4 linked regions of the Pelodiscus sinensis genome follow. The protein of the gene in region 1 interacts with the protein of each later gene in a pairwise test. Links are inferred from orthologs where the notes say so. Each region holds a gene or a part of one and is shown in the gene's direction. Other genes may lie near its edges. The genes, in order: HOXA1, CHIC2, RGS17 and SPRY1.

Region 1 (7,805 bases):
CATTCTAGGTCCCTCTATGAAAGCAATATATGAGGCCTGTAAGAAAGTGATCATATAGAATTGTATCTTCACTTTCTTTTTATTTTTGTATTACATTAGGATGCGTTGTCATAAGTATTTTTGGTAGAATAAATTCTTGTTTGCTACAAGTAGCTTTCTTCTCTCTTTCTCTCTCTAGACATAACGGGTATTCCCCCCCACCCCTCCTAATTTATCCTCAGAAATAACATTAGACATTCTGGTCACAATCTCTCACCTTTTGGTAATTTGATAGATTTATTAGAGCGAAAAAAATCACATTCAATTTCTTTATTGCAAAGGTTCTCACAAGTCAATTCAAAGTACCCGATGAGTCTCACCAACAAAGGTAATAACTAAACCCCTCCACATCAAGATTTCTTCTTTTTAATGTACATATAACAGGTTGTCTATGTGTGTGAACGCAAGTCTTGGATTTTCTAACTCGTGACAAAAACCATAATGTGCAGTTTCGGCTGTTACAGGCAAAATATAATCTATTATACATGGGAACGTGCCTGCCATAGAAGCTGGCTTGTTACACGAGTGGAAGACTCATTTTAAACACCGTATTCTTCTGTAACTCAGCGCAAATATGTCCACCAGGTCGTTTTCTGAAACACGTCCTTAAAAATACAAAGGCTAACAAAGTGCGGCTTGGATTAGCTCCCATGTGCTGAAAGATTCCAAGAAAACAAACCTAAAAAAGAGAGGAAATAAGAACAATTATTATCGAGAAAATCCATTTCGGAGGGATTTAAATTCTAAATGCAGTTCCTTTCGGGCTTTTCTGCGGGGTCTCATAACGAGGTCGCTTTCTTTTAAAACCGGTTTGCGATGCTAAGGGTGGGTCATTAAAACTGGAAGCGAATGGTGAACATGTTTCAATTGCAATGAAGCCACTTGAACGGCTCACTGTCCCAAATGTGTAACTTTTTTAATTACAGCGGTAACGAAGCTCATTAAAAACTACAACTAATTAGGTAAGAATATATTATCGATATTAATAACCCAGTTCAGAAGGCGAGCGGGTTTCTTTTTATACTGCGCTAAAATCAAGCAACAGATGCTTAGTAAGTAGTTTTACTGCTCACAGATCGCGTCGCCTTTTGATTTTGAATATTCTGGGGTATATCTGAAACGCGGTCAATGAATCCATGTGTCTGGAGTAGTTTGTTTCCATTTCATTTGAGGTGTGTTGTTTCTCTGATCCGCAACACTCTGTGGAGCTGGGATGCGTGGGCAATAGCTGGAAGGGCTGGATGCAATTCTTCCTAAACTCATAAATCACGCTCTTTCTATGAATGAGAATGTCATCAAAGAGATCAATGACAGGAACACATGCACAAATAAAAATCCTCTTACGTATTTGCCGGAGCCGGGGATCCCCGTCTGAAACCATTAAGTTAGGAGGCGTTTAGTCATAATTCATTTTTATTGCTCGTTTAAAACAACAGATTGGCTGAGCTGCGGATGCCGCAGAAACCTCGGCCCAGCTTCTCTCTCTCTCTCTCTCTCTCTCTCCCTGCTTCAGCACTTTCGCTTTTGGAACAGGGCAGTTTCCTCGAGGATTTTAACGCCTGTTCGAATGGACTTTAATTATTGGCGTTACGATATTTCGCTAAGACTTTTACACAGCGTGATGTCATAGCGTCTTCTTAAATGGACCGGGCTGTTTAATCAAAGGCCAGCAAACTTCTCTCGGGATTTATTTAAATTCAATATCTGCAAATCTAGCTGATAGAATTCCTCTAAGAAACGCATTGTTACCCCTAAAGTTCGTGTGTGTGTGTGTGTGAAAGACACACAGGCATATACACACAAGTATTATTTGGGGAATGTTCCAAGAATGCGCACGAGGCGCCAGAAATGCTTCAAAGCTTTGAATTGCTGGGGAAGGAACTCGACTTTCTGCAAACCGATGGGCCGAAGCAACAAAGGGGGCAGGCTGGGGGCTAGCATAAAGGTTTTCCTTTTATAAGAGCAGCATAGCTCTGAATTTTGTGTGCATATGCCATCGTGTCTGAGGGCAACTTTTCTCTTTGGGAGGGAGAAGAGGTATTTTATCCCTGGTGTCCCTCCTTTCCATTATGTGGCATGGAGGCACTGTAATGGCAGCAGAATCCGAGGCATTGAAGGAGGACAATGTAACAAAAGACACGGATTTCTTCAAAACAATGGTACAGAAATGAAGGAAACCGTTTAAAGGAAGCAAAGGAGAGTAACAGAGGAGCTGTTACTTGGCAAAAACCACGGGTAAATATTGGGAAAGGAATTCTATCTGCTGTTAGATTTGCAGCTACATTGTTTTTAAATATGGAGAGAAGTTCACTGTTCTTGCAGTAAACAATTCTGTTCTATTAATATGATGGTATGACATCAGTGGTGTATATAAATAGATTATACATGCATGGTATATTATACACTTTTGTTAATCGTCAAAGTTTGTGTGAGAGAGAGAGACCCAGGAAAAAGACATCTCTTTTTCGGTAAACAGATACACCAGCCCGAGTCTGCACCTGGTGTATACAGCATTTATCACAACGGATTGACAAGAATTAAATAAGACAATATTGCAGCCCAAAAAGGGTTTGAGGGACCATTGTTCCATACCGGCTTGCTGGCCACCCCTCCCTTTGACACCCCCCCCCCCCCGCTTTTAAAGACATTGGATGTTTTCAATCGACTCTAATCTGTTCAAGTGTGTAAAATGTAAATAGAAAGACAAACCTTTTATGGATAAGTTTAAGAGGGGGAACGTATATTCGGTGATATCAGGGGGGGCTATGGAGGTGAAACGAACACATGGGTAGCCCGAATAGGAGCCTCGGAAACTTTTGGTAGCTTATCACTTGGAAGAGGATGTTGCACTTCAGTGTGTGTGGGTGGAGGGAGAGGGCTGGAGAAAGGAAAGGGGGAAATAGCCTTTTATATTTTAAGATACAAGCAACAATCAATCGGGCACGGTGACAAAGCAACACATGCCAAAGTTGAAGTGTATCTGCATAAATACACGGAGAGTTCTTCAGACTGAAAAAGATAAGAATAAAACTATTTCCGAAGTTACATGGCTATCTGCATGTTGACTAGCTCTTGAACTGTGTGAAAAGATAAGGTGAATGTGAACTCAGATGCCAAACACCATCCACGCTTTTCTATAAAATGGTACAATTTTCCTTGCCTGGAACAAGAGAAAGTTTGAGATAGATCACCCAGGGGGTTGTGGTGGTGTGGGGGGGGGGGGGGGGGAGGGAGGGGCTTAGCCATCTGTTACCTTTCCCCTCTACTCTCTGTCTACTCTATGGTGGAGTAGGCAGCCACCAAGTGACAAAGAGGATTAATTGGAAATAGGGACTGCTGTGGCTGGCACCTCACCTCCTTTGCTTTCCCCTCCCCCTAACTCCTGGGCATGTCCTCCAGTGCTTGGGTGTGTTAGGACCTGTCCCTGGATCTCACGCATTGCATCCGTGTGTGTGTGTGTGTGTGTGTGTGTGTGTGTGTGTGTGTGTGTGGCACAGGACCCCGCAGATGGATTGCAGAACCTGGAAAAGCTTCCACGTTTGCAATCGTCATCCATTTTCCTGCCTTTCCTCCCCGCTCTCCGCCCCCCGTCCCCTCCCCAGCCCCGACACCGACCGAGCTCTAGGCAGAGCCCTAACAACCAGGGGCCGGTGCAGCAGCGCTCCGGCCGCTCCGCTGGCCCCGCGCCCCAGCACAATGGCGTTAAATTACAAAGGCGCCTCATTTCCATGCTAATCACAGCGGCGCGGCGGGGACCCGGAGGGACAAGCCCCTTTAACTCTTAGCTGCTCGAGCGCGGGGCTCTCCGGAAGGGGATACCCCCCCCGGGCGGTGTGAGCCCCGCAACGCCGCTCGGAGCCCCCCTTTGCACAGCCCGCTTCCCCGCCCCGCACATGCACCCTCCAGCCGTAGGACCACGGGGGGGGGGGGCTGTCCCGATCGCCGAGGGGACTTCCCTGGAGCGGCGCTGAGGACCGCTGGACACCCCCACCCCTCCAAGCGCCCTGGGAAGGGAGCGGCCCCGACCCGCTGTGGGCGCCCAAAGCGAGCGAGCGCCTCTTACCTGGCCGCCTCCAGCTGGGGCTCCGAGCCCTGTAATCCAGGCTGCAACCCCCCCCCCCCCCCTTCAACCCCTCCAGTGGCGCCTCCGCTGCTGCAGGCTGCGCGCCCGGGCGCACACTGTCTCTCCGGCCCCGGCTCCGAAGCCCCAATGCACTGGCTCAGGGGGAGGGAGCCGGGGGGGGGGAGAGGGAGGTGGTGGCGGCTTCGCGTCACCTTGATGGAGGAGCGCTCGGAATTTAAATGCCACTGAAAGGGTGATCCATCACCAGCCGGAGCAGGGCCCTTGCAGCAGGAGGCTCAGCCATTGGCTGCCGCCCTCACGTGCCCCCAGCTCACTGTACATTCATATCATTTTCCTCCCGGCCCCATGGAGGAAGTGGGAAAGTTGGCACGGTCACCCAGGGCTCTGAAGACCCGGCCACTCGGTGATAAATGGACACGGCGAGGATGAGTTCCTTCCTCGAGTACCCCATCCTCGGCGGCGAGCCCGGGGCATGCTCTTCCCGCACCTACCCCCCAGAGCATGGGATTACAACTTTCCAGTCCTGTGCGGTCACTGCCACTCACTGCAACGGGGAGGATCGCTTTATGGTTGGCAGGGGGGTCCAGATAAGTCCCCACCACCACCACCATCAGACCGGTGCCTACCAGCCTCACAACAATCTGGGCATGTCCTACTCTAGCTGTGGCACGGGATATGGCACCCAGAACTTCAGCGCGGGTTACAGTCCCTACGCACTAAATCAGGAAGCAGATGTCAGTGGAGGGTATCCCCAATGCGCCCCCGCCGTGTACTCTGGAAACCTCTCATCTGCCATGGTCCAGCATCCCCACCCTCACCAAGGTTATGCTGGGGCCCCGGTGGGTCCCGCTCAGTACATGCACCCCTCATACGGACAGGAGCAGCAGAACCTGCCTCTAGCGAGTTATAGCAATTCCTTATCCCCTCTCCATGCCAGCCACCAAGAAGCTTGTCGCTCTCCTTCTGCAGAGACCTCGCCTCCAGCACAAACCTTTGACTGGATGAAAGTTAAAAGAAACCCGCCTAAAACAGGTTAGTCGCGATTTCAGAGCAGGGGGCTGTTTCTTTCCTCTTCCACTTTCTTTAATAAAACGAGACCAAACCCTTCTTACCTACAGCGGGCAGGTGCCTTGTTGTTTACAGGTAAGGAGGTCTGAGACCACTAAGGATGGACAGGGTCCTCCAGCTGATCGAATGGAAGTTCCAAGCGGGGGTTTTCTGTGGTAATATTTCTTGTAATTCGTAAACAATTTATCAAGTTGCCTTTGATACACACTAGTGGCCGACTTTATGTTAGCACCTCACACTCCATCACTCACTGTCCCCGGATTCCTCTCGTTGTAAGAAGTTCTTGTTTCATATCGTTTTACCTGTGTGTACATGCTGTGATTATGTCGCCTGTGCCTCACTCATTGAACGCTGACTGTACTTTTGCAGGGAAAGCTGGAGAGTACGGATACGTAGGTCAGCCCAACACCGTTCGGACCAATTTTACCACCAAGCAGCTCACAGAACTGGAGAAAGAATTCCACTTCAACAAGTACTTGACGAGGGCAAGGAGGGTGGAGATAGCTGCTTCACTGCAGCTGAATGAAACACAGGTGAAGATCTGGTTCCAGAACCGTAGAATGAAGCAGAAGAAAAGAGAGAAAGAGGGGCTGCTCCCCATTTCCCCTGCTACCCCAACAGGAAGTGAAGAAAAAACAGAAGAATCATCAGAAAAGTCCAGTTCATCCCCATGCACCCCATCACCAGCTTCATCTACCTCAGACACTCTAACTACCTCAAACTGAAATATTTCTGGCCCCCACTGCATTAGATCTATGTCTCTCACTCTAGAGCCACATCTTTAGCAAGCTTCATTGATTTAAAGTATTTTTAATCTTTCAGTCATCTTTACTTTCAATCCACTTGTTTCCAGAGAATTTAGTTTTAGAAGGCTCTCCGGCTGTTTAGTCTATGCAGAACTAAACAGTGGTTTCCATAATCAGGTTTCTGTTGACCACTTATTCAATATTTCTATTTTTAAAAATTCCAGCTCGCGCTGTTATTTGCTGCAGAAGATTTGTTGGCACAGTTATAAGAGTTTCTCTCAGTAGAAAAAAAAATCAAGGACATTTCTATATTTTTCCTTACATAAAGACAGGATATGTAGAGTACATAACCTCATGAAGAGATGCACTATTGAGAGTGTTTACACGAATTATAGTACCTTCATCCTTTAATTTAATGTATTCTTTTTCGTGTGTATGAGTTTGCTGGTTGTAAATACTTTGTCCAAGAGATTTATCTTTTTACAGATTTTCTAGAAATGCTGTTTAGATTATCAGATTAAATAGGGTAGGTACATTCTCAAAGTTGGATTCAATTTTATATTGTTAAAACTGATGATCATATAAGATGATTTGTTAATGTCAATCAGATACCTCAAATAATGGCACGGTTTCTTTTGATGAGATAGAAGAAAAAGGCTTCAATTGCACTAGGTTTTGTAAACCTTGCGTGGTATGTTCACTCCCCCATCTGTGCTGGATTATATTGGACCTAAGGGTATATTATCCAAAAGACCTGACCTACTCCTATTTTCATATTAATCCTACCCTCGACTCGATGTCTTTTCGACCAAATCGTAAATGTGATGAATGGCCAAATGAATGTATATTTTATGTGATTCGTGTATGGAACACTGCATGATGCACAGTGCTTTGATGTACTTAAGGTACACTGAGTTTTATCAGTTGTCATTTGTGAACAGAACCATCTTCCTGATTTTTCTGTGCAATCATTTAAAGGTTCTGAGATTCTGAGCGTGATGAATCCAGAACAGAATTTACGGGTCCGAAAATGTCTGTAATAAATATATTCACGTTTCAGGTATGCTTGATGTGGGTCCTTTTTATTTCCTCTCGTGCCGTTGTTGATCATACTTAGCTCAACATTTCATTGTCACTGATGTGGCCTTTGATATGCGACTTAATAAAAAATAATTTCTCCTGATCGTGAGGTGAGGTCAGAACTCTGTTCGACCCTGCCACATTACACAAGTCTAATTCCCTTTTTTTAATGTTTCACCAATATTATCTTTTAGGAAATATAAGAAAACACCCGCTCTCTAGTGCAGCAGAGGGAATTTATGAACTAGATCTATTTTTGAAAAACACATACTAGAACTTCCTGGTTCAAGTGCTAACCTTTTCACCTCGAACTGCACGCTGACATAGATATAAACAGCACTCTTCAAAAGCAGAAACTGTCTTCAGTCAGTTTTCCTTCACATCGTAGGCCCATAGTTCAGAGAGTCACATTTAATTAGCCCTGGTTTAAAGCTGACCCAAGAAATGCAGCTTCATTCTCTCTCCCATTGCCAGTGACATCTTTAGGATGTTCACAACCGGAAAGTTGGGTGATTCTTGTTTGCTCCTTATTTCTGAGAGAACTTCATCTCCAGGTGATACACACAGATTGCCTTTTTTCAGCTAGCACAGTCATTTACACCGATTGGTGCATAAAACAAGTTATTTCAAGTAAATTTTAGGAACTCCCCCAATACTTCGATTCAGATTAATACAGTTGGCAGATTAAAAGAAAAGTCGCACCTCTCTCTCTCTCTCCCCTCCCCCCCCCCCCCTTTTAATTTAACGTATTGCGGGACAGAGTACAGACATGTTCATCTGGCCACGTG
Region 2 (7,824 bases), on another chromosome or scaffold:
TCCCAGAGGAGTGACAGATCTGAGTTGATTGTATTTAATCTGCTCAAAGGGCTGGTAGTGGAAAAATGGTTAGGTGGTTAACATGCTAGCATAGAAGTCAGGGGATCCAGATTTTATCTCTTGCATCACGAGACACGTTGGGCAAGTCATTTAGCCTCTCTTGCCCCAGTTCCCATTTGTAAAATAGGGACAATAGCAATTCCTGATCCACAAGTGAGAATAACAACATGAAAGACTATCTACATTTTTTGTTAGTCTGGTCTCTTAGGTCCTGAAGGACCATTTGTTATTTTTTATGAGGTTCTCAGATACTATAATAATCGAATAGCATAAATATCTTATATTAAGGATTGCCCAACACTCCCAAATAATACTGTTTTCAGTTGTCTAAAACTTTGCCACATTTTAAGAGTCTGGACTAAAATTTTCTATGACAAGAATCTGCCACTGACAATTATTTTGAAGTTTGTCAAAAAGGTTAGCCCTTTTCCAAGAAAGAGGCAAGGAAAAATAAATTTTAACATTAACATTAACCCTTCCTTTGCTTGTGCTTTAGAGTAGAGACTTGAAATTTGATTGTGGACAAAACACTTTGTCTGGGAGGTGCCTTTTTACATACACCAGGAAAATTCATCCAAAATTTGCCAAGCTGTAAGTCTTTGAAAAAAATCACAGCTTGCATGTTCAACCAAAAATTCTTAGTTTAGCAAAGAAAATTTCCACAATTCTGTTCTCACTGAACATGAGTCCAATATGTTTACTGGGATTAGTTGGAAAAGGAGATTAGGATGAGAATTCTAGTAAGAGGAGACTAGGACTGAGTAGGCAAGAAGAAGGAGACTGAGATAAGGAGTCACGGTGGGGAAAAGACAGAAGACGGGGACAGGATGGAGAGGACAATACAAAAGGGGTCAAGCCTGTGAGGAATGGGCAGACGAACCTTTGTCCAGAAGGACGCACTCCCCTCCAGAGGTTGAAATGGAAAGCTCATTCTTATCATTCCTCCACCACCAAATATCTGTGAAACCCACTAGCAAAGGGTGTGTCACAATCCCTTTTAGTACTAGTCCAGACAGAGGATATCAACTTGCTATTGTTATGAATTACTCCGTTAGTTCAAGTGGGAGAGTACGCAAAGTGGATTTCTAGGTTTCAAATCAGCTGGTGAACTATATGGGTATCAGCATGGTGCCACATGACAGAAGTTCTGGTTTTTAATTTTATTTAAATGAAAGAAATTATACAAAAACTATGTTAAAAGAACATTGTTACTTTTGTAAAGTCAAGCAGTCAAGTTAGGAAATGCCAGAAATGAAGTTATATTCCCCCCCCCCACACACACACACTACTAACCAATGTACCTATTTCAAACTAACTTTTAAATGTAGACTGATCCTTAGATTCCTAGCTGGCTTTGCATGTTATGGCCAGTAAACTCCCCCCCCCCCCCCAAACACACACACATAGCTATGTATTCTGTAAAAGAAGCTTAATCACTTTTTGTATTTAACCTGAATGAAAAGCAGCTATGTTACACCCACCACTTCAACAAGGTTTCACTCAACCCCCCATCACAACAATATGATCAGCTATTATAATAGAACTCATGTCTCACCTCAGTGTATCCTTTGGACAACAGTCAACACATAAAGAACATTTCTATCAGGGTATGTCTACACTAGCACCCTAGTTCGAACTAGGGAGGCTAATGAGGGCGACCGAAATTGCAAATGAAGCGCGGGATTTAAATATCCCACACTTCATTAGCATGTTCTCGGGCGGTCGCCATTTTGGAAATTGACTAGCATGGAATAACTGCCCGCATCTACACGTGGCAGTGAAACGGGAGTTCAAAGTAACCCCTTACGTCAAATTAGCTGTTAAACCTCATTCCAGGAGGAGTAACAGCTAATTTGAGTTAAGGGGTTACTTTGAGCTCCTGTTTCACTGCCGCGTGTAGACGCGGGCAGTTACTCCCGGTTAGTAAATTTCTAAATGGCAACCGCCCGGAAACATGCTAATGAAGCGCGGGATATTTAAATCCCACGCTTCATTTGCAATTTCGGTCGCCCTTATTAGCCTCTCAAGTTCGAACTAGGGGGCTAGTATAGACGTACCCTCAGTGACTATCACAAATACCTGTTGAAAATAGTAGGTGAAATCCATTTCAGTGAAATACAAGTGGCAAATTGGCAATCAGTATTCTCAGTCAATTCGTCCTTCCACGGCAGTCTATTACACAAAGGTTGTAAACCCATCATCAGCCTATCAAAACACAGGATCTAAATGTTCCTGCATACTTCATATCCATTGGCTTAGTCTGTTCAAACCAAAAGATAATTTTTCCTTTCTAAAATGCCATCCTGTTGCCACTAAGTCCCACACTGACTATGATTTGTTGCCACAACAGCCAACATTCTGTTACTAAAGGTCTTACTATATTGCTGGAATTTTGAACTCTTTACATTAACTTCCAGTTTTGACAAATGTTAAAGGTGCAAAGGAAAAACAAAAGATTTTTAAAAAACAAAACAAGAAATGTGTAAGTCCTAAAAGTTCTAGGGTATGGGGCAAGTGTACAAATTATATTTTGGGGGAAGGAGTTAAAGCACATTATAAATGCAAGGTTTTTTTTCACTTGTATACTTCCTGGAAGACACTATGCATTACTGAAGAACTAACAGAATTACATTATCACTAGTAACAAGAAAGAGAAACCTGAAGTGACAATGAAATATCTTGCAAATTGCATATTATTTGCTTTTTTAAAAATAAACTATTTAATTCAAACACCTGATTAAAAAGTTTGAAGAAAATATTTATCTGCTCCTCCAATAAGAACTCCAGCAAAAACAGTGAAGACAAAACACTTGATACTCTTGAGGGAGGGTGAGAGGGTTGAGGGGTGTCCCCCCCCATTTGTATGGGAACATTGCTGGCTGTTCCCCTTTGTCAGGGAGTAAGGGGAAAGTGTACAGTTTCCTGTATTCCTCACTCTGGCTGACGAGTACAGAGGAACCTGGATCTACCTCAGTCAGGGGACATATACCCCTTCCCCTAGCTGTGCCCACTTGAAGCAACAGTAGCCATAGAGAGGCACTTTTCACCTGGCCCCAAACTGCTGTAGTGAGAGAGAGCTGGGGTAGTCCTCTCTCCCTGGGGGTAGCCTGCATACTGACCCCCTTATCCCCAGTCCCACCCCAGAGCAATGATTTAAATGGCCCCCCAATTAATTGAGTTAAAAACCTGAGAAATGCCAGGTAAATCTTTTCGTACCTCATAAAGAAGAAAACGAAGGATACAGATTTGACCATTTTTCATTAAAAATGGTGCTTAATCCCCCCCACATGTTAAGCAATGTCAAGCTTTGCTTTAACACTTGCAGGAAATGGGCTGGAGATTTATCAGGCTCATCCTGTACAAAGAATTTGATTCATATAAATTTATTATTAATTTTTTTCTAAATCATCAGGGTAAACTGCAGCAAGTTCTGTGGCATGCTTGTGAATATCAGATATATCTACCAAGTTGTTTTCAACTAGTACTCCAAGTTGGTGATTCAACAACTCACGTGTATCCTGTCATACAGACAAGCGAATACCTGGTTGATTACATACAAAATCTCAGTGCAAAACTTTTGACTTCCCTCAAGTAAAACCTCAGGCTCTCCCACTTCATCTGCTAATTATTTTCATTTTTTGACACAGAATGTTTGGGAGTGCATTGCAGGGTCCCAGTCATGGGAAGGAGCACCACCTAGCCACACTCTGGCCTTATCCCAGCCTATCCTATGGTTCTATTCCTGGCCACGCTCCAGCTGCACCTCTGGTCCCACTTCCAGCCATGTCCATGGGGCACAGGATACTGGAGTACTCCTAGGTTTTTGGCATCCTGGTCCTGCACCCCTGTAACCCAGGATCCTGGCCACTAGCCCCATGACCCTGCCATCTGGGATCATAGCTGCTGGGCCCACTGCTGGCCCAGGTCCCACTCCTAACTGCTGGGTCCATACCTGGGAGCTCTGTCACTGGGCCCCACACATAGGTTTCCACCCAGCTGCCAGGCTGGGGGGGGGGGACCTGGCTGCTAGTCCCAGCTCTAGGGGGTAGTGAGGAGCATGGGCAGGTGTAAGGGGGGGGAGTGTATAGCTCAGCACCTCCCCTTTTTCTGGAGGAGAAGAATGGTTCAGGCTCTCTGTGGGGGTGGGGGAAATAGGAGAGGTGGCTCAGGCCAGCTCTAGCCAGGGGAGGGCAGAACCTGGGGTGGGGGAGAAGAATCCTAGGGCTGGACGAGACCTCAGGAGGATACCAAGTCCAGCCCCCTGCCCAAGGCAGGACCAATCCCAACAAAATCATACCGGCCAGAGCTTTGTCAAACGCGGAATTAAACACCTCTATGGATGGAGACTCCACCCCCCCCAGGTAACCCATCCCAGTGCTTCCCCCTCCTAGTGACATAATTTCCCTAATGTCCAACCTAGCCCTCCCCCGCTGTAACTGGAGAGGCGGAAAGGGGGCGGGATCCCCAAAGTGGCCTGGCCAAGCCCCGGCAGTAATTCCCTCCCCCCACTGAGCACCATTTGCCCACCCAGGCCTGGCGCCGTCAAACCACCGCCCGCGCGGCACCACCCCAGGACGGACACCCGCGCTCGCCTCCGAGCCGCGGGCCGCGCGCCGCAGGAGCCCGCCCCCATAAGCTCTCGCGAGGCCTGGGCGGCGCTGTTGCTGTGGCTCCCGCGCTGGGGGCGGCGCCACGGCCCGGCCCGGATGTTGTTGTGCCTCCTCCTCCCCGGATAGCGACGGGCGCTTCCTGCCCCTGAGTCGCAGCGACGCCGGCTCAGCCTCGCCGGGGTAGCCCGGCCGCCCCGTACCGGACACAGCGCGCGGCCCGGCCATGGCGGATTTCGACGAGATCTACGAGGAGGAGGAGGACGAGGAGCGGGCGCTGGAGGAGCAGCTGCTGAAGTATTCACCCGACCCGGTGGTGGTGCGCGGCTCTGGCCATGTCACCGTGTAAGGGCCGCGCCGGGGAAAGGGCTGGCCCGGTGCGGGCAGGCCGCGGCCATGCGATGGGGCCGGGGCGCGGGGAGACTGCGGCGAGCTGGTGCTCCAGCGCGGGGGGTGGCAGCGCTGTGCCCCGTCCAGCCCCTGCTCTGGGAGCTGGCTCGGCCCTGGCGGTGCCCCGGGCGGTTGTGAGGCGAGCGGAGTGCCTGCTGTCTGCAAGCTGGTTGGGAAGGGCCAGGCGGCTGGTTCCGCTGGAGACCCGGCCGCTCCGCTGCAAGGAGCTCGCCTACGACTCTGGCTTTGAACTTCCCAACCCAGCAAGTCGGGGGCGTGTGGCTTCTCCCTCCTCCCAGCGCTCCTTCGTAGCCAACAGTGGGGGCACCTGTGGCGTGCCCCCTGCGTCGCCTCTTGCATTTTGTAAACACTTCTGCGCGCTTGGCTAGAAATCTTCACAGGCAAATCGCCCGTTGGGGCGATAAGTAAACAAAACTGACCTGGGCCGTGACTAACAGCGGTATGCAGAGTATTAAATCCAACGATGAGCTGTCAGGAAGTGGGACGTTGGGGGAAAAATAGTTCAAGAACGTAACCTGTAGTTCTGTAGTTATTTATGCGTTTGTTAGTCACGGTGTTAGCCTCTTCCTTTTATCAAGCTCCAGCGATCTGTAGTGCTCTCAAAAGTCTTAGTAAATGAGAGCAGCCAGCCAGTCTGACCAGCACAAGCACGCCCAGCATCATTAGCTTTTGGCATGTAATAAGGGTGACTGTATTGTTGTTGAGGGTGGTTTTGGTTTTTTTGAACAGGTATAAGTGAGGGGTCTGGTGATGATTCTAAAATAAGTGTACTTAATTTCTAGTAACTTAACAGACTCAGTTGTTTTATGTGCTCTATTAAGAGTTCGTTTAAAAAAAAAGTGCTCAGTGGTAGTGGACGCTCTTAGGCACTTTTTAAAAAAATGTAAAAGATAGAATAGGCCGTAAGAAGCTTCTTCATATGCATTCACTACTGAACTGAGCTGGATTTGAGACAGTAGCATAGAAGTTAAAGACCTGTATCCTATTGTCATCTGATGTTGAGTTCTCCAAGATGCTGGGGGGTAATATTAACAGTACCGTGGTAACTTTTCATTAATACTGTTTTACTGTGTTGCTAATGTCATGGAAAATATTGATGTGGAAAGACAGATTGATTTCCTCTCTGCTGAGAAATTAAAGTTTACATAAGGGCTTTGGTGCTCATTGAAAGAGATGTTAGAGGTTGAGATGTTACCACCATCCAATGATATATGTGAAATAGTCCTGATCATATACTACATTAAAATTATAACTGTAATTATGCATTAGTTTTCAACAGTTTCATTGTTCTCATTTTAAAAGGCTTAGAATTAAAGGAAATTAAGATGCTTTTCTTCTCTCTCTTGATTGTGGGTTTTGTGGGCTAAGATCAAAGCCCGCTGGTGGGAAATCATGGAAAAGACTTCACACTTCTAGCTTGTAGAAGAAATTTGGCTCTACGCTACCAGTCCTGCCAACTGTTCATGTGAATTGTTTTCTCTTTTCTTTTCATCTCTAGTACAGGTACCGGAGCTCTTGGATGGCCAAAAGAGTTCCACAAAAGTTATTTTGAGTGGTGGTCTTCAGGTTTATATATCCCACCTAGTATTAAATATGCTCTGAGGGTACACAGCAGGGCTAATGTCGAATTAAGCTATGCAACTTAAGCTACACAACTGATTAGCTCAAATCGAAATAGCTTAATTAGGCTTTTGGCACTGTCTATACAGTGGAAAGTTGAAGGAAGACCACTCTTCCTTGGACTTCCGTTACTTGTAAAATGAGGGTTACAGGAGTCGAAGGAAGAAGTCCTCCAGCTTGCCATTATTTCCAAATAATGGTTTGGAGTGTAGACACATTCTTTTTCGGAATAATGTCAGTTATTCTGAAATAAAGCTGCTGGGTAGACATAGGCTGAATGTCCTCGCTCAGCCACCTATTTTCCCTCTCTTCCCCCAAATTACATCTATTAAATTTAATGACATCGGAGAAGATTGAACACTTCTACTGGAGTTTTTCAGCTCTCCTAATGAAACTGAAACTTTTTGTAATTCCTACTTTTCATCATGTTTCCTTTAATAAGTATTTTGACACTAGAAAATTTCAAAAGTATTTGGGATAGGATGTTAAAGCTGTTTTTCTCTTAGATTTTTGTTACAGAATTTGCATGCAAAGATTTCTTCCTTGATTTACAGAAATGTGCATTTTGGAGGTTTGGAAAATTTTATCACAGATCTAGCAAGCAAAAGCAATACTTATTATTCTCTCTGTGCAATTTAAAAATGTTGCTGACTATATTTGTAGTTAAAAACTTCCTCCTTCATAGTCTGTTGTCATATCCTTTCTGATCTTGCAATGGAGTTGTAATATTGAATTTATATTATCAGTAATTTTTATGACTATAGATTAACGTGTCAAAGCCAATTATTACTTGAATGTTATCCAACAGAAGGAGAGATGGGTTGTGTGTGAAAGAATCCTTAGTCTTTAAAAAAAAAAAACACACAAAAAAACCCCACACCATCTTAGAAAAAAATAACAAAGGGAATGCAGGTGAATACTGTCCAAATAAAATGTTTAATGCAGAGGTAATCAACTATTATTTGTCAAGGTCCAAATTTCTTTGTCAAAATATAGTCAAGATCCAGACTCCAGAGAAAATCTGGACTCCCTAACTGACCCTGGGCTCCCTGTGGCATTTCTGCAGAACCAGGAGTCAGCTGGGGAGTCCCCAGCTGTTGCTGGGCTCCATGTGACGCTGCCACTT
Region 3 (8,673 bases), on another chromosome or scaffold:
ACATTTTGTTATAATAATTTTTACATAAGAACTTTCATACTGGGTCAGACCAATGGTACATCTAGCCTGGTATCCTGCCTTCCAACACTGGCCAATGCCAAGTGTTTCAGAGGGAATGAACAGAACAGGCAATCATCAAGTGATCCATCCCCTATCCTCCAGTATAAGCTTTTGACAAATAGACGGTAGGACACTTGGAACACAGGGTTTCATTCTTTCCCATCCTGGTTGTTAATCATTGATGGACTTGTTCTCTGGGAACTGATCTAGTTCTTTTCTAACAGTTATAGCTTTAGGGGGTTGCTGAGTTAGTCTGTACAGAATAAACTTAAAAAACAACAAATGGTCTGGTAGCACTTTATAGACTAACAAAACATGTAGATGGTATCATGAGCTTTCGTGTGCACAGCCCACTTCTTCAGATGACCAGAGTTGCTTTGGCCTTTATAGCTTTGGCCTTCATAGCATTCCCAGCAAAGAGTTCCATGGGTAAACCATATGTTATGTGACTACTTCCTTCTTTTTTTAAAAAAAACCTGCTACTTATTAATTTCATTGGGTTACCCCTAGTTCTTGTGTTACATAATGGATTAAATAACATTTCCTTATTCACTTTCTTCACACCAGTCAGGATTGTATAGACTTCTATCATATCCCCATTTAGTTTTCTCTTTTCCAAACTGAAAAATCCCAGTCATTTCAATCTCTTCTCCAGTTTCGTATCCCTGATAATTTTAGTAGCCCTTATCTGTATCGTTTCCAATTCCAATATATAATATATTTGGGGGGGATGGGGTGACCAGACTGAACACGGTATTCAAGATGTGAACATTCTATGGATTTATATAGTTGATTTGTGATATTTTCTGTCTTATCTATCACTTTTCTAATGGTTCTTAAGACCCCATTAGCTTTTTTGACTGTCATTACACATTGAGTGGATGTTTTCAGAAAACTCTCCATAATGACTCCAAGATCTCTTTCTGGGGTGGTAACAGCTAATTTAAATCCCATCATTTTATATGCACAGTTAAGACTGATACATGCAAAATAGTGCACATTAGAAAACATACAGCCCACCTTCACCCTCACAGTCTCACCCTTCATCTGACATCTTGTAAATTTGAAAAAAATACACTTTCAGTTACTGGAGAAAACACTGATCTAAAGAAATATAAGGAGAGTGAATGAAAGAGATGGACATAAGGAGGGGAGATGAGGAACCACAGGAGGTGAGGGTATGTGTGCATGGAACAAGAGTAAATATGGATGGGTGGATTTGCTAGAGATTGTGGGAGGCATAAAAGGAGATGTAGAAAGATGAAGTCTTTTAGTCACACCAAAACTGTCAACACTTTTGATTTTCCATATGTACAGCTTGAAGATTTAGAAGCTTCCTCTGCAGATGTGTGAATAAAAACTCCTCCTCCATTTCCCTCCATTGACCATTACCCCTGAGAAAACCTATGCTTGCTGATAGCCAAGGAGCTGGTTTCAGCAGTGATACTGAACATGTTCCATACAAGCCAAGCATTAAGGGGGGAGGGCACATGACCCCCCATGACTTTCCATGTGCGGTCTGTCTCTGCACGATCCTCACGCCGACCTAGGCATAAATTCTATTACCACACATACCTCCTATAACCATACCAAGTTTGCAGGTGGGAAACTTTTCTTTCATAGCTTCAAAATATCTGTCAGAGCATGGATCCCCTCCTGAGGAACTTATCAGCAAACTTCATTTAGGCTCCAGTTCAGGAAATCACATGCGTTTAAGTCTTACTGATTTCTGTGGATATAAACATGAACTCATAGCTTTCCAGGCCAGGAAAGTAACATTTAGTCTGACCTCTTGTAACACAAGCCATAGAACCTCCCCAAAATAATTCCTAAAGCATGTCTTTTAGACAAACATCCAATCTTAAGTTAAAATTTGTCAGTGATTCTGATCAGTCTTGGCAAAGATTGACAGTAGTTTAAGCATAAACCATTTTTAGGCTGTGGTCCTGCATTATGGATGAGCAGACAATCTGCAGTGCAGACTCCCTTTACCCCTTACAAAGTACAGCTATCCTATCTCTCTGGTCTTGATCAATTTAAATACAGCCATATGAGGACAGATAGGAATGTAAAGGATTGCAGAACTATGTGCTTGGCCTAATTGCACTGAATCCCAGAGCCTGCTCCTGGCAGATGCTGAGCACTTTTCTCCCATTGAAAGTGGAGTTAAAGGTGTTCAGCACCTAATAGGAACAGCTTGGATTGGGAAAGCCTTGACTGGTGTAGAGCCAGCATAGAGCACCCTGCCCGCTGCACTGGCTATACATCACTCTCTTCTTTTTGTGTCCCAACATTGGGGTGGGATGATGCTTTCCCCTGACATGGCTCTGACTGACTTTAGCTCTCATCATTAGGTGTTTGAAGTGCCTCTTCCCAGAATGCAGGGACAAGGGCATATGATTACTATAGCTGTAGAAACAAAAGGAAAAACTATATAGCACTTTAAAGACTAACAAGATGGTTTAATAAGTGACGAGCTTTCATGGGCCAGACCCACTTCCTCAGATAATTTGAGGAAGTGGGTCTGGCCAACGAAAGCTCATCACCGATTAAACCATCTTGTTAGTCTTTAAAGTGCAACATAGTCTGATCTTGCTAAAACAAAAGGAAAAACTAACACAGCTACCTCTCTATGGCTACGTCTACACTGGCCCCTTTTCCGGAAGGGGCATGTTAATTTCAGAGATCGTAATAGGGAAATCCGCGGGGGATTTAAATATCCCCCGCGGCATTTAAATAAAAATGTCCGCCGCTTTTTTCCGGCTTTTAGAAAAGCCGGAAAAGAGCGTCTACACTGGCCCCGATCCTCCGGAAAAAGCGCCCTTTTCCGGAGGATCTTATTCCTACTTTGAATACTTTGAAGTAGGAATAAGATCCTCTGGAAAAGGGCGCTTTTTCCGGAGGATCGGGGCCAGTGTAGACGCTCTTTTCCGGCTTTTCTAAAAGCCGGAAAAAAGCGGCGGACATTTTTATTTAAATGCCGCGGGGGATATTTAAATCCCCCGCGGATTTCCCTATTACGATCTCTGAAATTAACATGCCCCTTCCGGAAAAGGGGCCAATGTAGACGAGCCCTATTAGTATAGCTGTAGAGTTAGTCTGTAGTTCGGCTATAGTTAGTCCATTTTTTTTATTTTAAAAGAAAAAGTGATTGATGGTTATACTGTTGTTGGGCTAATCTTCCTGGGCTGCTTACCTTTTCTTTATTTTAGCCCTATGAAGAGCTAGCCTGTTTTTTACTCAGTATTTGAAACACTGTTCCACCACAATATTTTGGGTTCTAGATTATTCTAGTGGACACTTGAAAAGCTGCATAGACGTTAAACAAGGAAGTGTATTGGTGAGAGATATGCAACCAAAAATTAGCTGGACCAGCAGGATACAGGTGCAAAATTAAAGGCTTTACACTTTTCTTATGCCATTATAGATTGGGATCCAGCTTGTTTTGGTTGGTTAGTAGAAAGAACACTGGTTTTCTATTTTGATGTTAGAATTTCTGCATTTGTGACAGGATTCTGTAGGACCTAGATGCCAGACCTGAACTGTTGTGGGGAGATTGACCTGGCACATCAGGGGATGGATTTTGTAAGGTACAATAAGAATGACTAAATGTGTTCTCTGTTTAAGCAGTGAAATTTGAACAGTTGGCAAAAAGTTGGCAGAATCCAGATGCTGGCACCATTGTTCTGTGAGGAGGTGAATCATGGTCTTGGATTTGTGTTTCGGTGAGGGGCACTCACACTGGTTGTCTGTCCAGGCATTTGAACATGACTGCATGGAATTCCAAAGTTATCCAGATGGTTTTTGTGTCACTTGTATGGAAGTGCCTCAGGATCTGAGTGTTTTCTTCTGTGTGTGCACCAGGCACTCAGCAGCTAGATCTTTTGTCTCTTTTGGCTAGTCCAATTTGCAGGCTAAGGTACAGAAGCAAGCAGGATCCAAGTAGAGCTTGTCAGCATCCTGTATTTACCCATGAGAGAGAAGGTGGCTGAGAATCTAATATATAAAGGAGAATGTTTGTGCACTAATAACTTGGACACTATAAGAGCTACCGCAACCAAACTTTGCATGGAATAACCTTTATCCAGGAGAAGGTTTTAAGGTACTTTTGGACCCAATTGGGCCCAAGCTCAAGCTGTAAAAATCAAAAAGTAACCCCCTGTGCTGTGCTACCAGGGGCCGCCCCTCACACTCTAGGTCCCGTGCCCGCCGGATGCGGCCCCCAGCGCCATCCAGGACTCGCCCCCTTCTGCCCGTGAGGTTACATAAGTGACCCTTCCCCCTCCCCCCGGTACACAGTGCCTCGACCCCCATGCGCATAACGGCTCGGGCACCGCCCTGCCCCATGTGACACCTGCAGGCCCGGGTGCAAGCTGGGGCGCCCCTCTCGTGTGTAACCTTCCCTCCACCCGGGGCCGCACCACCTCCCAGGGATGACTCGGACCTATATTTTAATCCCTATAGAAATCTTTGCAACTTTTCTACCATTCAAAGAAAGATAATGGACTACTGTTTTTCTACATTTTCTTCCTCCGGTTTCCCGAGCAATGCCGGGTAACTCCAGCTAGTTCCTGGACCTGCATTTAGCTACATGTCATTTACAGTCGTTCCCTTTCAAACCTTGAAAAGAAGGCGCCTGTCCCAAGCTGCCCCGGCCTCCCATCCACAGCACACCTGGAATAAGTGCGATGGCCAAGGTCCCAGTGGAAGGCAGCTGGGCTCGCTCCAAACCCGAGCCAGGTGATTTAACAAACCATCGTTTCTCCCTGCCCAAAGCAGCCATATTTGGCTGGAGCCTCCTTCCCAGAGCCCTAGGACCGATAGCACCGGTGCTCCCCCGCTGGACCGCTCCCTCCTCCAAGCTCTTTGCCTGGGGCCCTGCTTGCCAGCCAGCCTGCTCCGGGCAAGCTCCCCGGGGAGGAAGCGGAGGCAGGGGACTGGCGGTGAGTCACGCCGGGGAGAAGCGGGGAAACTCCAGCGGCTCGGTCCAGCGGAGTAGCAGGGCGCATGTGCGCTCGCTCCCTGCCTCCCTCCCTCTCGCGCTCCCCCCCCCCAGCTCTCTCTCCCTGCCGGCTGGGTGCTGAAGTTGGGCGGATGGCAGCAAACCAGCTCCGCTAGGGACCAGCTGCGCGAGCCGCTCCCCGGGATCGCTCAGTGCCAAGCACGCGCAGCCAGGCGGGGGTGGGTAAGCCAGAGCGGGCTTTATTCGCATTATGTATTATCTGAACCTGAACCTTGCTGAATGGCACCAACATGTCTGCTTGAGCCTGGTGCATGGAATAGAGAGGCGGGCGGGCGGGCGGGGGAGTGGGAGCGCAACTGCTCCTGTGTGTGGCGGGGGCCGCCGCGCTGGCCCGGCTGCAAGGAGGGGGCCCTCCTGCTAGTGTCGCTCCCCTCAGGGGATGCCCCCAAAGCGGGGGAGCGCGGGGTTTGGCGAGGGCTCCGCCGGACTCCCCGCGTATTCGGCTCCCGGGCTGTGGCTCCGGAGCGATGCTGCTGCTGTGCATCAGCTGCATCAAGGAATCCTGATCAATCCAGGCGGGGAGGGAGGGGGGTTCCTACCATGTTGGGGGAAGGGAGGGGGGATATCGGGAAATGTCCTTGTGCTGATGCGAAAGGGAGGCTGGGCGTGTGTTGTGGGGGGCTCGTACCTTTCCTCTTGCCCCTCTCCTCTGGCTCCCTTATCGCGGCTTCGGGTCTGGGCAGGAGCGTGAGGGCAAGGCGCCCGTGCAATTTGTACTGATTTGAAACCATCCGAGCCCCTGGCCTTTTAGAAACCACCCGCTGGGCTCCTTGGGAATGGAAGTGGTTCCCCGTAAGACCTGCACAGGGGCATGCGATACAGTGCGTGGTATCGCAAAGCTTTTGGCCGGGGTGTGTGTGTGGTGGGGGGGGGGATATAGGGACGAGGCCCCCGCGCAGTCTATAGGTGCTGCTTCGGTGCAGGGCAAACGGGGAGCTGGCTCATAGGTACCGTCCTTGCCGTTCGGTAGGCTGAGTTCTGGGTTCCCTTTACACCCTCTCCATAGCCCTTCATGGCACCCACCCATCCTCCCCCCTCGTTATTCTGCGGCATCAGCCGGGAGCTGGGGTTTGGCCGGATTCTTCTCCCCCTGCTTTTCTGCGTGTGTGTGTGTGTGTGTGAAAATGTCGGAGCATGTGAGGCTGGAGGAAGGACGGAGCCTATGGGGGAAAGCAGGCGGCTACAGATGGTTAGAATGTGGCTCGGGAGGTAGGAGGCTGGCTCGTGGCAGCGAGCGGCGGCTGTGCTAGCAATAGCAGAGCCTTCCCGGCCGGCACCAAGTTAGGAACAGCGAGAGCGCTCAGCAGAGAGGCGCTCACAAGCCAAAAGCTTTGGCGAAGGAGAGCACATGAATCCCACCGCCCTTAGCCTCTGGCCAGGACTTTCTGTGACACAGGGCAGCCGCTGCCCAAAGGGGAGAGAGTTCAAGGGAGACCCTGTGAGGAATGGTTCGTTTCCAGTGGAGGTTGTTTTTGAGGGATTTGGTTTTCCTTAGCAGCTCTGCAGCCCTTAAAATTCAGGATCACAAGCCATGAGTTCTTATCCTCATCAACAATGAACTCACTGGAAACTGAAGAAAAGCAGCACTCTTGTCAATCTAGTTTATTTCTAGAGTGCCCATCATCATACCATCATTATCATGGTTTTAGAACAGGCATAACTAGAAGTTGGGGTTTCCAGTACTGAGCGGATCTTTTATTTTACACATTTCTAAGGATTTCGGCTATCCTGTCAAGAACTTTGCAGCCTAGGTGCATAGTATTATATATATAGATAGATAGATAGATATACCTTTAAACTTATTTAGTATTTTTAAATCAAGAGTTAGGTAAAATGGATGAATTCTCAAATGCAATAATAGATGTAATTGTTTTTTAAATAGCTGGTAAATGTAAGAAGAAACATTTAGTAACTGCATTGGTTTTATGGTTAACATATAATAACTGTGCAAAATAAATGCATACATACTGCCTATTTCTATAAGTTTTTTAAAAGGAAGTTAATTCCCATTCATATCAATGGAAGCTAGTGTGCCCAGCCACATTACAGGATACATAATTAGTGTCATCATGATATCTATTAGCACCTATTAGTAAATGAATAGGAATGATCCATTGTTTAAGCTTTGTAAGAAACATTGTATCCTAAGATGATATTATAGCTAATAATTTATTTTAATTTCATCAGCACTCAAATGTGCAGGGCACCATCCATATATATAGAAAGATCCAGTCCCAGCTCTGAAGTTTTTATAGTCTCATATCTACACTTACCTGCACCATTGATCTACTTCAGCTATGCAAATAGCATAGCTGAAGTCAACATACTCCCTGTGGCATCTTGCATGCACTAAGGTTGATGGAAGCTGCCCTCGGGTTGACTCTGGGTATTCTCTTTGCCTTGATGAAGTACCAGCATCAATGGGAGCACTCTTGGAGATTGATTTATCACATCTAAGGCAGATACAATAAATCCATGGCCAAAATGGAAAATGTTTAAAATGTACATTAAATAAATGTTGTGTTTATTAAAGGTGCTAGTCTAGTAGTTTCCTTTCTTTCTCCACAGAGTAAGGATAGCACAAGTAGTGTAAGCCTTTTCCCTTTGCCTGAGCCCTTACGCAGAAGTCACCTTTAGGATGCAAAGACAGTTCAGTTTTCCACCTTGCCAATCCTTAGTCTTGCAGCTGAGACTACAAATAAGAATTGCAGTGATGAGGGCTTGATTTGTGTGTGAGAGATATGGATACACAAAATTGGCCTGAAATCATCAACTCAGTTAATAGTCTACTGAGCAATAGTAATAACTTTTTGTTACTAATGGCTTAGACTAAATTTAGATCTGGCAATCCGCTAAAAGATTCTCTATCCTAGTCCTGTTACCTGAATCACTGTGTCTCTGGATCACAGGGGAGTATTTATTGTTTTGGGGGGTTTTTTCTCCACAAGTAGTCTAAATGCAACATGCATGCTATATTGGACCACAGCTCTGTTGCTGATTGCCTTAAAGTATGATTCATTGTGTAATCTGCATTATTTGAAAAGTGGATAGAACTCTTCTACCAAAAAGTAAGACAACAGTGAAGGCCCTCTGATAGAACTTCTTCTACCAGAAAGTAGGACTTAGGTGGTGGTGGGCAGGTAATACATGAGGAACACTAGAGTTGATCACACTTGCTCAGGAAAATGCTTGCCAATCGTGCCATAGGGTCACAAGTAGGGGTCCTTCAATTTATCTTTCACCTGAGAAGAATTAGGAGTATCATAACCTATAGCCACAGTATTGCAAAGGAACTCTTAGGTTGCCAACAGCCGTGGACATAGGACATTTGAACATAACTATCTGCAGAAACAACATGGATGAAGCACAAGGCAGTATAGTAGAAACTCATCTGAATGGATACCCTCTCTAACAAATAAAACCTTGATGAAGCCCAGATGCTGGAATCCTCTTCTCATAAAAGTTGAAGAGGAAATTAAAGCAAATAGCACTCTAAGACATAGGAGAGAAGATACCAGCTGATTTAAAAGTAAAGCCAGCTAGACATTAGGATGGCTTGCAAAAAAATCAGTGTTCCCTCTTTGCTCATC
Region 4 (7,573 bases), on another chromosome or scaffold:
GGCATAGTCCTCTCTGTTCAGCTTCTAAGAAAAACAATGCTGTCTTCTTGAAGAAAAATCAAGATTACGTTGCAACTGAGAATTTCCCATGTGCGTACCCACAACCCCGTGTCCTTGACAGCAAGTTGTTGTATGTTGCTGCATTTCTTTACAGAACTTCAAGAAAGCTCTTTGCACAGAAGAAATCCCCAGCCACTTGTCTTTTTGATCTCAGATAATGATCAATCTGTCTACTGGAAAGTGTGACTGGAAACTCCACCTCACATCATCCTTCACTTTCCTTCACTTGCACTAAAATACTTCACTGTGACTTCAGTGCTCAGTTTCCTCTCCTCCCCCACAATGTTTATGATTTTTTTACTTCAGCTCTGCACAATAGCTTTATTTTGTTACACCCTCCACCATCAATTTTAGCCAAGCCCTACCTGCCACAATCTCTCATTTTTGTAATTAGGAAAAAGTGCTCTTGCTATTAGTAATAAATAAATAATATAGTAACAATATGTGGCAAATCCCTGTATTTAAATCCACAATCTGAAGCCAACATTCTACCCATTTTTCAGGGAAGGAAACTGGCCCAGAGAAACTAAATTCCTGCCCTGAGAATAATTTTTAAAATATTGATATTATAAACTATGCATAGTGTATCCTATTATCAAGACTAATGCTGTTTTAAAAAGTGAATGCTTTTACGAATTGGTGTGGCTGCTCTGACCCACTTTTGAGATAGGAGATGAAAGATTATATAAAAGGTTATGTTTCTCCTCCCATTTAAGTCAGTAACAAAACTCACACTGACTTCAATGGGACCAGGAACTAGTTTCTAAGTCCAAAGAGCTTCCAGTTTATTTAAATGGTGTTTTGTTTATAACACTTATTTTTTCAGCTTGAAATGAATCAGAGGTAATAATGATGAGAGTTTATATTTCCTCATTTCTTTTAGCAATATTACATTTATTTTTGTGTTGACAAGACTTTTTCACTCCCTTGTTTGTTACTGAATTAGAAGATTGTATTTATCACTTTTCAGTGACAGTAACACATTAAGTCCAGCCTCAGAAACATTAACGTTCATTAGACATGTTGGGTGGATATCCATGAAGTATATGATGTTTCACATGGTCAGAGATAAAGTTTTGCATTGTAGTGTTACAGTAAGTATGTATATTGTTTTACTGGGTATGTTGAAGTTGTATGAGAGATATTTTTAGTGCATCAGTGAAGGTGGTGAAAATTATGTATATTGGTTAGGGGATGTTAAAAGAAGATACCTTAAATTGATATTTCCTTGTTTTGAGAGGAATATCCACTCCTTAGGAAACTTTAACTGTTTTAATCAGTTTCTTCTTTGGAGGCATATGTTTTTCCTTAGAGAGGTACAAAAATAACTGTATAGAAATGACCTGCTTTTTAAAATTAAAGATATACCAGAGACCTCAGAAATGTGTAGCAAACTACTAAAAAGCATAAGAGTCCTCGTTCATCATGCCTTATTATGGCATAATGTTCAACGTGTTAATTACTATTTCTATTGTGGTTTGTTTCTTTGTTCTTTTTGTTTAAAGTTAACTTTTTGAAAACAATTATAATATTTTAATAACTTGAAGATACAGTAACACGCCTTATAGAAATAACTGATAATTATAATTAGTGGAAGCCTTTGAAAATGTCATTTAAGGAATTTTTTTTTATTGTTACGAATATATGCAACAGAGCTAGAGAGAGAATCTAGTTTTCATAGGTTCTACTCTAGTTTCTCAGTGACAAGATCATCCTGTAGAACAAATGGGTTAGAGCATGAAATTAAAGACTTTTGACTTAATCTGAGTTTCTCCCAATATGTAGCAGAATGGGGCATGCAAAAGTAGTCTTAATTTGTGGAGAATATATTCAAATATGAAAATGTACCTATTTTTTATGAAACAACATAGCTCAGTTCCCAGTTCTGTAAGAAGGGGACATGTGAATCAGACCGGGTCAGAAATTTTCTGGTGGAACATTTTTCTGTCAAATCAAAATGTTCTGTGGGCATATGATAATTTTGATGAAACTTCTGACAGAACACGCAAGTTTTAGAAGAAAATCTGCTTAATTCCTTGCCTGCTCCCCATCTATCTTCCTACCTCACCAGCCCTTCTGAAGGCCACTTTCTGGGAGCCCAAAGAGAATCTTTCATTTTGGAAATACTAAAACATTCCCTCAATGGGAATGTATTGGTGTGTCTAAATGAAATATTTTGGAATTTCACTTCCAATATGGAATTAAATTTTTTGGAAAACCTCAAATTTTTTTTTCAGAAGTGAAATGAAGTCTCCTGGCCAGCTCTATTGTGAAACATCTCAGATCCTCCATTAACTCACCTATACTTTCCTGACTTCTGATGTCTTGCTCAATAAGGAGGGCCGTGTGAAGCATACAGAAAGTAATACGTCAGTGGAAGAGATGAGATTTGAAATCCTCCGGTAAAATCCTGACCACATCAAAGTCAAAACTCCATTACTTCTCCATTTTTATTTCTTTGTTGAGCCTATTTTGGTCAATAGATATGGAGCTTTCTCTGTATTAATTGGATCATCAGATTCTTTCCTAACAATGCTTTAAGAACTTCTAAAGGTGTCAAACGAAAACCCTTTCATGTAAAATGCCTTAGAGATCTGAGGCTGTGTCTGTGCAGCTGAAATACAAGGATGTTTTCTACTTGCTAGGTCAGCGCGTTGGCTTTAAAACTGCATTTTACACCAGCCTGAGTGCACTGTGTCCATGCAGGGAGGAAATGGGTAGCATTTAATAAGTGGACAAAGTTCATTTTAAATCCTAATCTTGTTTTCCAAAATGCTTGTAGCCCGCCCCATCTTAGTACCGTTTGCAAATCTCAGATGCATACTCTCACTCCATTATCTAGGTTATTAATAAAAAATATTGAATAGTATTAAACCCAGAACTGACTGTAACATGACCCCTGTAGATACATTCTCCCAGTTTGACAACAAACCATTTAATGGAACCAGATTAAATAGTTGCTGCAAAACTTGTGTGTGTGGAGGAGGGAGTGCTTGCCAATGGAAAATGACAAAATTAGTAAGGAAAACATTGTATCTCCCACCATCTGGAAGAGTAAAACCAACTCCTTGCAGCAATTTTGCCAATTTGTATTATTGTGTTGATGCAGAAGTATCCCTGAATGTGGCCTAAAGTATAAAATAGTTGCATATATTTTACTGCGGGCTAATTTGTAGAAATTGATAACCAATTGTTTTTATTCCTCTAGTTATATGAAAATCTTGATAGATACTGAGCACTCATAACTCAAATTTTCTTCATTGCAAGTTTGGATGCTCAGTGCCTGTCAGGATTTTGCTTAAAACGGATACAAGATAAAATCAGCCTGGCAAACTCCCCATGGAGTCCACAACATGCTAGGAACCATATAAACAAAAGGAGGCATGATCTTACTGCCTCAGAGAGCTCATATTCAAAGGTCCCAATCCTGCAAACAGTTATGCATGTGATTAATTGTATGCATCTAAATTGATCCATTGACTAAGGTCTGATCCTGTAAGCTAGTCTGTGAGAATGGACCTCTTGTCCCCGTGCTAAGTGAATTGATTTCAATGGGATTACGTGTGATAACAGAGGTCTGGCCAGTAGAAACAGCTTGCAGGAAGCAAGACAGAAATGAAAGAATGGTAAGGCAAAGAGTAAGAGGTAAAACATATGAATAACGTGATTAGAGCAGAGATCAGTCCCATCTTGAGAATACAGAATTTGATAACATAAGATGTCTTTAGTTATTGTTCTAAGTTATGTAGACTGTTCACAGTGACCCTTCAACCTTGTCTTTATCAGACATCTAGATTCTTGTCAATATCACAGTACTAATCAATCTTTTTTGAATGTGGAAAGGTTAGTAGTCTTCAGGACCATGGCAGGAAGAAGAGAGATGAATGTGGGAGAAGTGAACAGATTTGCATGTTGTAAATGTATGCGGATATTATTTTGCAGGGGAACAGAAAGAAGGGTGAGTAGGTTTTGCGCCTAGGCTAGTGTGTTTTTGACAGTATTACAAGGCTGTGGCCTCAAAGACATGCTTAACTTTCAACAATGAATGCTCCTAATTAGTTCTGAGAGACCATGTAAGTGCTTGCCAGATCAGGACCAAGATCAAGTTCGTGACACATTGACTCGCACGCACATACGTTTATTATCTATTCCATTCTCACGTTACTTTCCACAATGTTAAAACATTTTACAGGGTAGCAAGTAAACCTTGAAATTCGCACGTACAACTGAATGAAGAAATGGCTGCCGGGTTGTAGAGAACTCCACTCCAGGATTTCAAGAAAGCTTTTCCGAGTGACACATTGACATCATCGGAGGCGTGACTGAGGGGGAGGCGGGGGCTCCGCGCTGAAATGCTGCTGTGCGGAGCTGGAATTACTGTGTAACAGCAACAGTAAAGCAAATAGCAAAGTGATAGCAGCAGACAACAGTGAGCAACTGCTGTCTATATTGGTTAGGTTGGAATTATCTCCAGTTTCTTCACATGTGCATTGGGGAGCAGTTTTTTATCTTTGTATTAGGTAAGCATCAGCAGCGTTTGTTCTCCTTTTGGAAGACATTTAAGAACAGATCAGGTGTTTAATGTTTGTTCTTGAACTGAAGAGGGGGGGGGTCTCTTTAAATTCTCGTTTTCAGGTCTTAGCTTAATGGTTGCTTTGCCAGATGCAAATAACATTTGTATTGTGAATTACAGTGCCGTTTACTGCTAATGCTTTCATAGAAAGAATACTGGTGCACTTTTATTTCTCTCTGTTTTGTAGTTTAATTCTGCAGCAAGTCAACTGCGTGAAATGATTAAATATGCACTATACTGAATTAGAGACTGAAAAGTATTCTCGTGAATTCTCTAGTAAAATAGGTAAAGCCACTTACAATTTGCTGGTAATGTACAATTTGCAATTAAGTTATTGTGCCTCCCTTGCGTTGTTGGTCTTACTTAATGAACAGATTTTTTTTGCGTGCTGGAACGTTGTTTGCTCCACTTGAAATGCCAGGGAGTTTTAAAAGCACTTCCTGCAAGAAGTTTGTGTCTAGAGTTACATTAGATTTTAGTTTTCTGACTGACATGCTCCAAGCCTGTCAATCAGTCTGCAACAGCAACAAGCAAGCACATGGCAGTTTGCAGAGAGCTCTGAGACAGAGCCATTGCTTTCTGCTGCCTCTCGCTTGCATGTTTTAGAACTTGCTCCAGTTACGGTAGATATGGCTTGAAAATAAGCGTCTCTTCATTATTATTATTATTATTTTGCGACAGGCATTCTCGTTACACTTTGGCTGTACGGAGGGGAGAGGGGTTGCAGCAGGACCATGTGGTGAAGCAGAGCTGGATCTGGGACGTCGTTTTGCACCACGCAAGTTCAGCTTAGAAGGCTCGTGTGACTATCCAGGGGAAATACAAGTGGAAGTCGGTGGAAGAAAAGAGGAATCTTGTATTCCTTGCCTTGCTCTGCTCTATCTTGTTGGATCACGTTGCTGCTACTGCAGGTGGCTCTATAGCTGCTTCTGCTCGTTTGCGGGCAGCAATTGTGCCTGCATCTTGCCATTTTGATCTGCTAGCTTGAAATGAACCATTTGCAGCAAGGGGTTGATTGTCGTCACCTATAACCGAAGAGAGAGACTTGCAGCCAGAGAGACGGCTTCCTTGGGAATCCCACCACCATCGAGTGATTTACTTCTCCCAAGAGAATTGTGCCTGCTCAATGAACAAGTGAGTTAGGGGCACGCAACCATTGAATGTTTGTTTCTTTTGAGCAGAGGTGCGGGGAGGGAGGAGGGGAGAACTGCATTTCCCTCCGCTCGGTGAATGGGATCTGGTGATCACTGTGTGCTTTGCAGAAAACAGAAATCCGGAAGAGTTGTCCTCTCCAACCAAAACGGGGCTGGAAAAAAAAAAGAGAGAGAGAGAAAGCGGGGCACAGTCTCTTCTGAAGGGGAAACGAAACCCACCCGCCTTCTCTTAACACTTGCGCTGCTCTGTGGATCTTAACTGGGGTGGCTTGAAATGGATTTGCCACTAGTGACTTCTTGGAGATAAGTCCTTAATTCCTCTCCCGTTCTTACTGAGCTGAGGTAAAACTCCGTGAGGTCTGCAGCGCCGCCGCCTTTTGCACGTGTCGAGTTGGAGGAGTGAGCAGGTGTCGTTGCATTTCCCCCCTTCCCCCTTTTGAGGGAAGGGGAGATCAGGCTGCTGCCAGCCGTGTGCTGTGGCGGAGGTCTGGCGTAGGCTGGGGTGGGCCCGTTCTTCTGGTGTGTGTGTGTTTTAACTGGCGCTCAGGGTTATGTTTTAATCCGAGGGCTCTGAACTTCTCTGGCCAAGCGAGCAGGCTTGAGTGTGCAAAGGGGCGGGACGGCGAGAAGCAATGGCTTAGGATTCCCGGCAGACCTGGGCTGTGCACTGCTGGTAGCTCTCCTGAGTGGTGTCTGGGGGAAACCTGGTGCCCGTGCCCCAAGCTGCCCGTAAGGATTCAGGGAGAGGAGTGGGGCCAGGCCGTTGTGTAGTTCCCCCTTCTCCAGAGGTTGTTCTGGATCTGTGCTGGAAAGGACCGTGAGGTGTGGGGAGGAGGGCGGGAAAAGAGGTTCTTGCGGGCGGTCAGGCGGTGACACTTTATGAATGAGGGAGGAGGGAAGTGAGGGGGTCACGTTTTGACGGGGGCTCTGAAATGCTTCGTGGAAACATCTAGCAAAACCCTTCCTCCTCCTTGCAGAGATTGCTAAAAGCTGCCTTCAGTAACCCCTAAGGGGAGAGCCTTCCTCCGCTGCTGGCTGAGGTTTGGCAGGGCTGTAGAGGTGGAGAGGGATAAAAGGAGAGAGACTTTCCCCCTCCCCCCTCGTTTCCCCGCCCTTAGCCCACCGGGGGAAAAATCCCCTGTGCACGTCCTAGCACACCCAGACCTTCCAGTGCCGTGCTGGAGAAGGGGGATGCTACAGCTTTAAGTATTGGAAGGACCGCCCTCCTGAGGTAATGGTAACCTCCGTCTTCCCCTCCTCCTGCAAAAGGGGGGGGGGGGCAGCCCTTGTTTTCATTCATAACTTTTCCCTCTTCCTTCCTCTCCGTCAACTATTTATTCATCGCTTCGCTCGGCTCGGGTTGCAGAGGGCGCAGCTCCACCGCCGTACCTTGTAGTGGGGCGATCTTTGGCTTCCTCCCCCCCTCCCCTCTCTCTTGCACCTTTCTGTGTAGCAAACAAGCGCCAGTTAAAACGCAGCAATGCAGAATGCATTCGGGTGGTGATTCTGCCTTTTGGAAGCTGAGCTGGGAGGAGGAAAAAAGGGGGGGCAGTTGGGTGAACCCCGGTCTGGAGGAAACGCAGACGTACTTGTACATTGTGCTAAAATCCGCAATGGTTCTGAGCGTGGGCATCAAAAAATGGTATTTTAGACTTTTGTTCGCTTTACTTTTGGGGGAAAAAAAAGTAATTTTGATACTCGCAGTGGGGGTAATTGGTTCTTTCCATTAGAAACTGTGTGGCTTGCTGCTGGCTTTTTTTGTCTCTCTTTATTACAATGTGTATCG

The links.
Region 2: the proteins of HOXA1 (region 1) and CHIC2 interact in binary tests that used the Homo sapiens proteins (3 or more experiments, as listed by UniProt). The two-hybrid records come from large-scale screens. The link is inferred for Pelodiscus sinensis from reciprocal best matches to the Homo sapiens genes HOXA1 and CHIC2.
Region 3: the proteins of HOXA1 (region 1) and RGS17 interact in binary tests that used the Homo sapiens proteins (3 or more experiments, as listed by UniProt). The two-hybrid records come from large-scale screens. The link is inferred for Pelodiscus sinensis from reciprocal best matches to the Homo sapiens genes HOXA1 and RGS17.
Region 4: the proteins of HOXA1 (region 1) and SPRY1 interact in binary tests that used the Homo sapiens proteins (3 or more experiments, as listed by UniProt). The two-hybrid records come from large-scale screens. The link is inferred for Pelodiscus sinensis from reciprocal best matches to the Homo sapiens genes HOXA1 and SPRY1.

The regions. Positions count from the first base shown.
Region 1 is NC_134712.1:196,637,662-196,645,466, forward strand, and holds HOXA1 (homeobox protein Hox-A1), read left to right. Parts: upstream 1-4,485; 5' UTR 4,486-4,533; coding exon 4,534-5,155; intron 5,156-5,560; coding exon 5,561-5,916; 3' UTR 5,917-7,100; downstream 7,101-7,805. UniProt on the Homo sapiens protein: Sequence-specific transcription factor. Regulates multiple developmental processes including brainstem, inner and outer ear, abducens nerve and cardiovascular development and morphogenesis as well as cognition and behavior.
Region 2 is NC_134715.1:85,602,605-85,610,428, forward strand, and holds the start of CHIC2 (cysteine-rich hydrophobic domain-containing protein 2), read left to right. Parts: upstream 1-4,713; 5' UTR 4,714-4,893; coding exon 4,894-5,012; intron 5,013-7,824.
Region 3 is NC_134713.1:109,023,489-109,032,161, reverse strand, and holds the start of RGS17 (regulator of G-protein signaling 17), read left to right. Parts: upstream 1-5,115; 5' UTR 5,116-5,241; intron 5,242-8,673. UniProt on the Homo sapiens protein: Regulates G protein-coupled receptor signaling cascades, including signaling via muscarinic acetylcholine receptor CHRM2 and dopamine receptor DRD2.
Region 4 is NC_134715.1:38,167,444-38,175,016, forward strand, and holds the start of SPRY1 (protein sprouty homolog 1), read left to right. Parts: upstream 1-4,422; 5' UTR 4,423-4,580; intron 4,581-4,638; exon of another isoform or gene 4,639-4,918; intron 4,919-5,314; 5' UTR 5,315-5,767; intron 5,768-5,773; exon of another isoform or gene 5,774-6,129; intron 6,130-6,135; exon of another isoform or gene 6,136-7,018; intron 7,019-7,045; exon of another isoform or gene 7,046-7,429; intron 7,430-7,573. UniProt on the Homo sapiens protein: Inhibits fibroblast growth factor (FGF)-induced retinal lens fiber differentiation, probably by inhibiting FGF-mediated phosphorylation of ERK1/2. Inhibits TGFB-induced epithelial-to-mesenchymal transition in lens epithelial cells.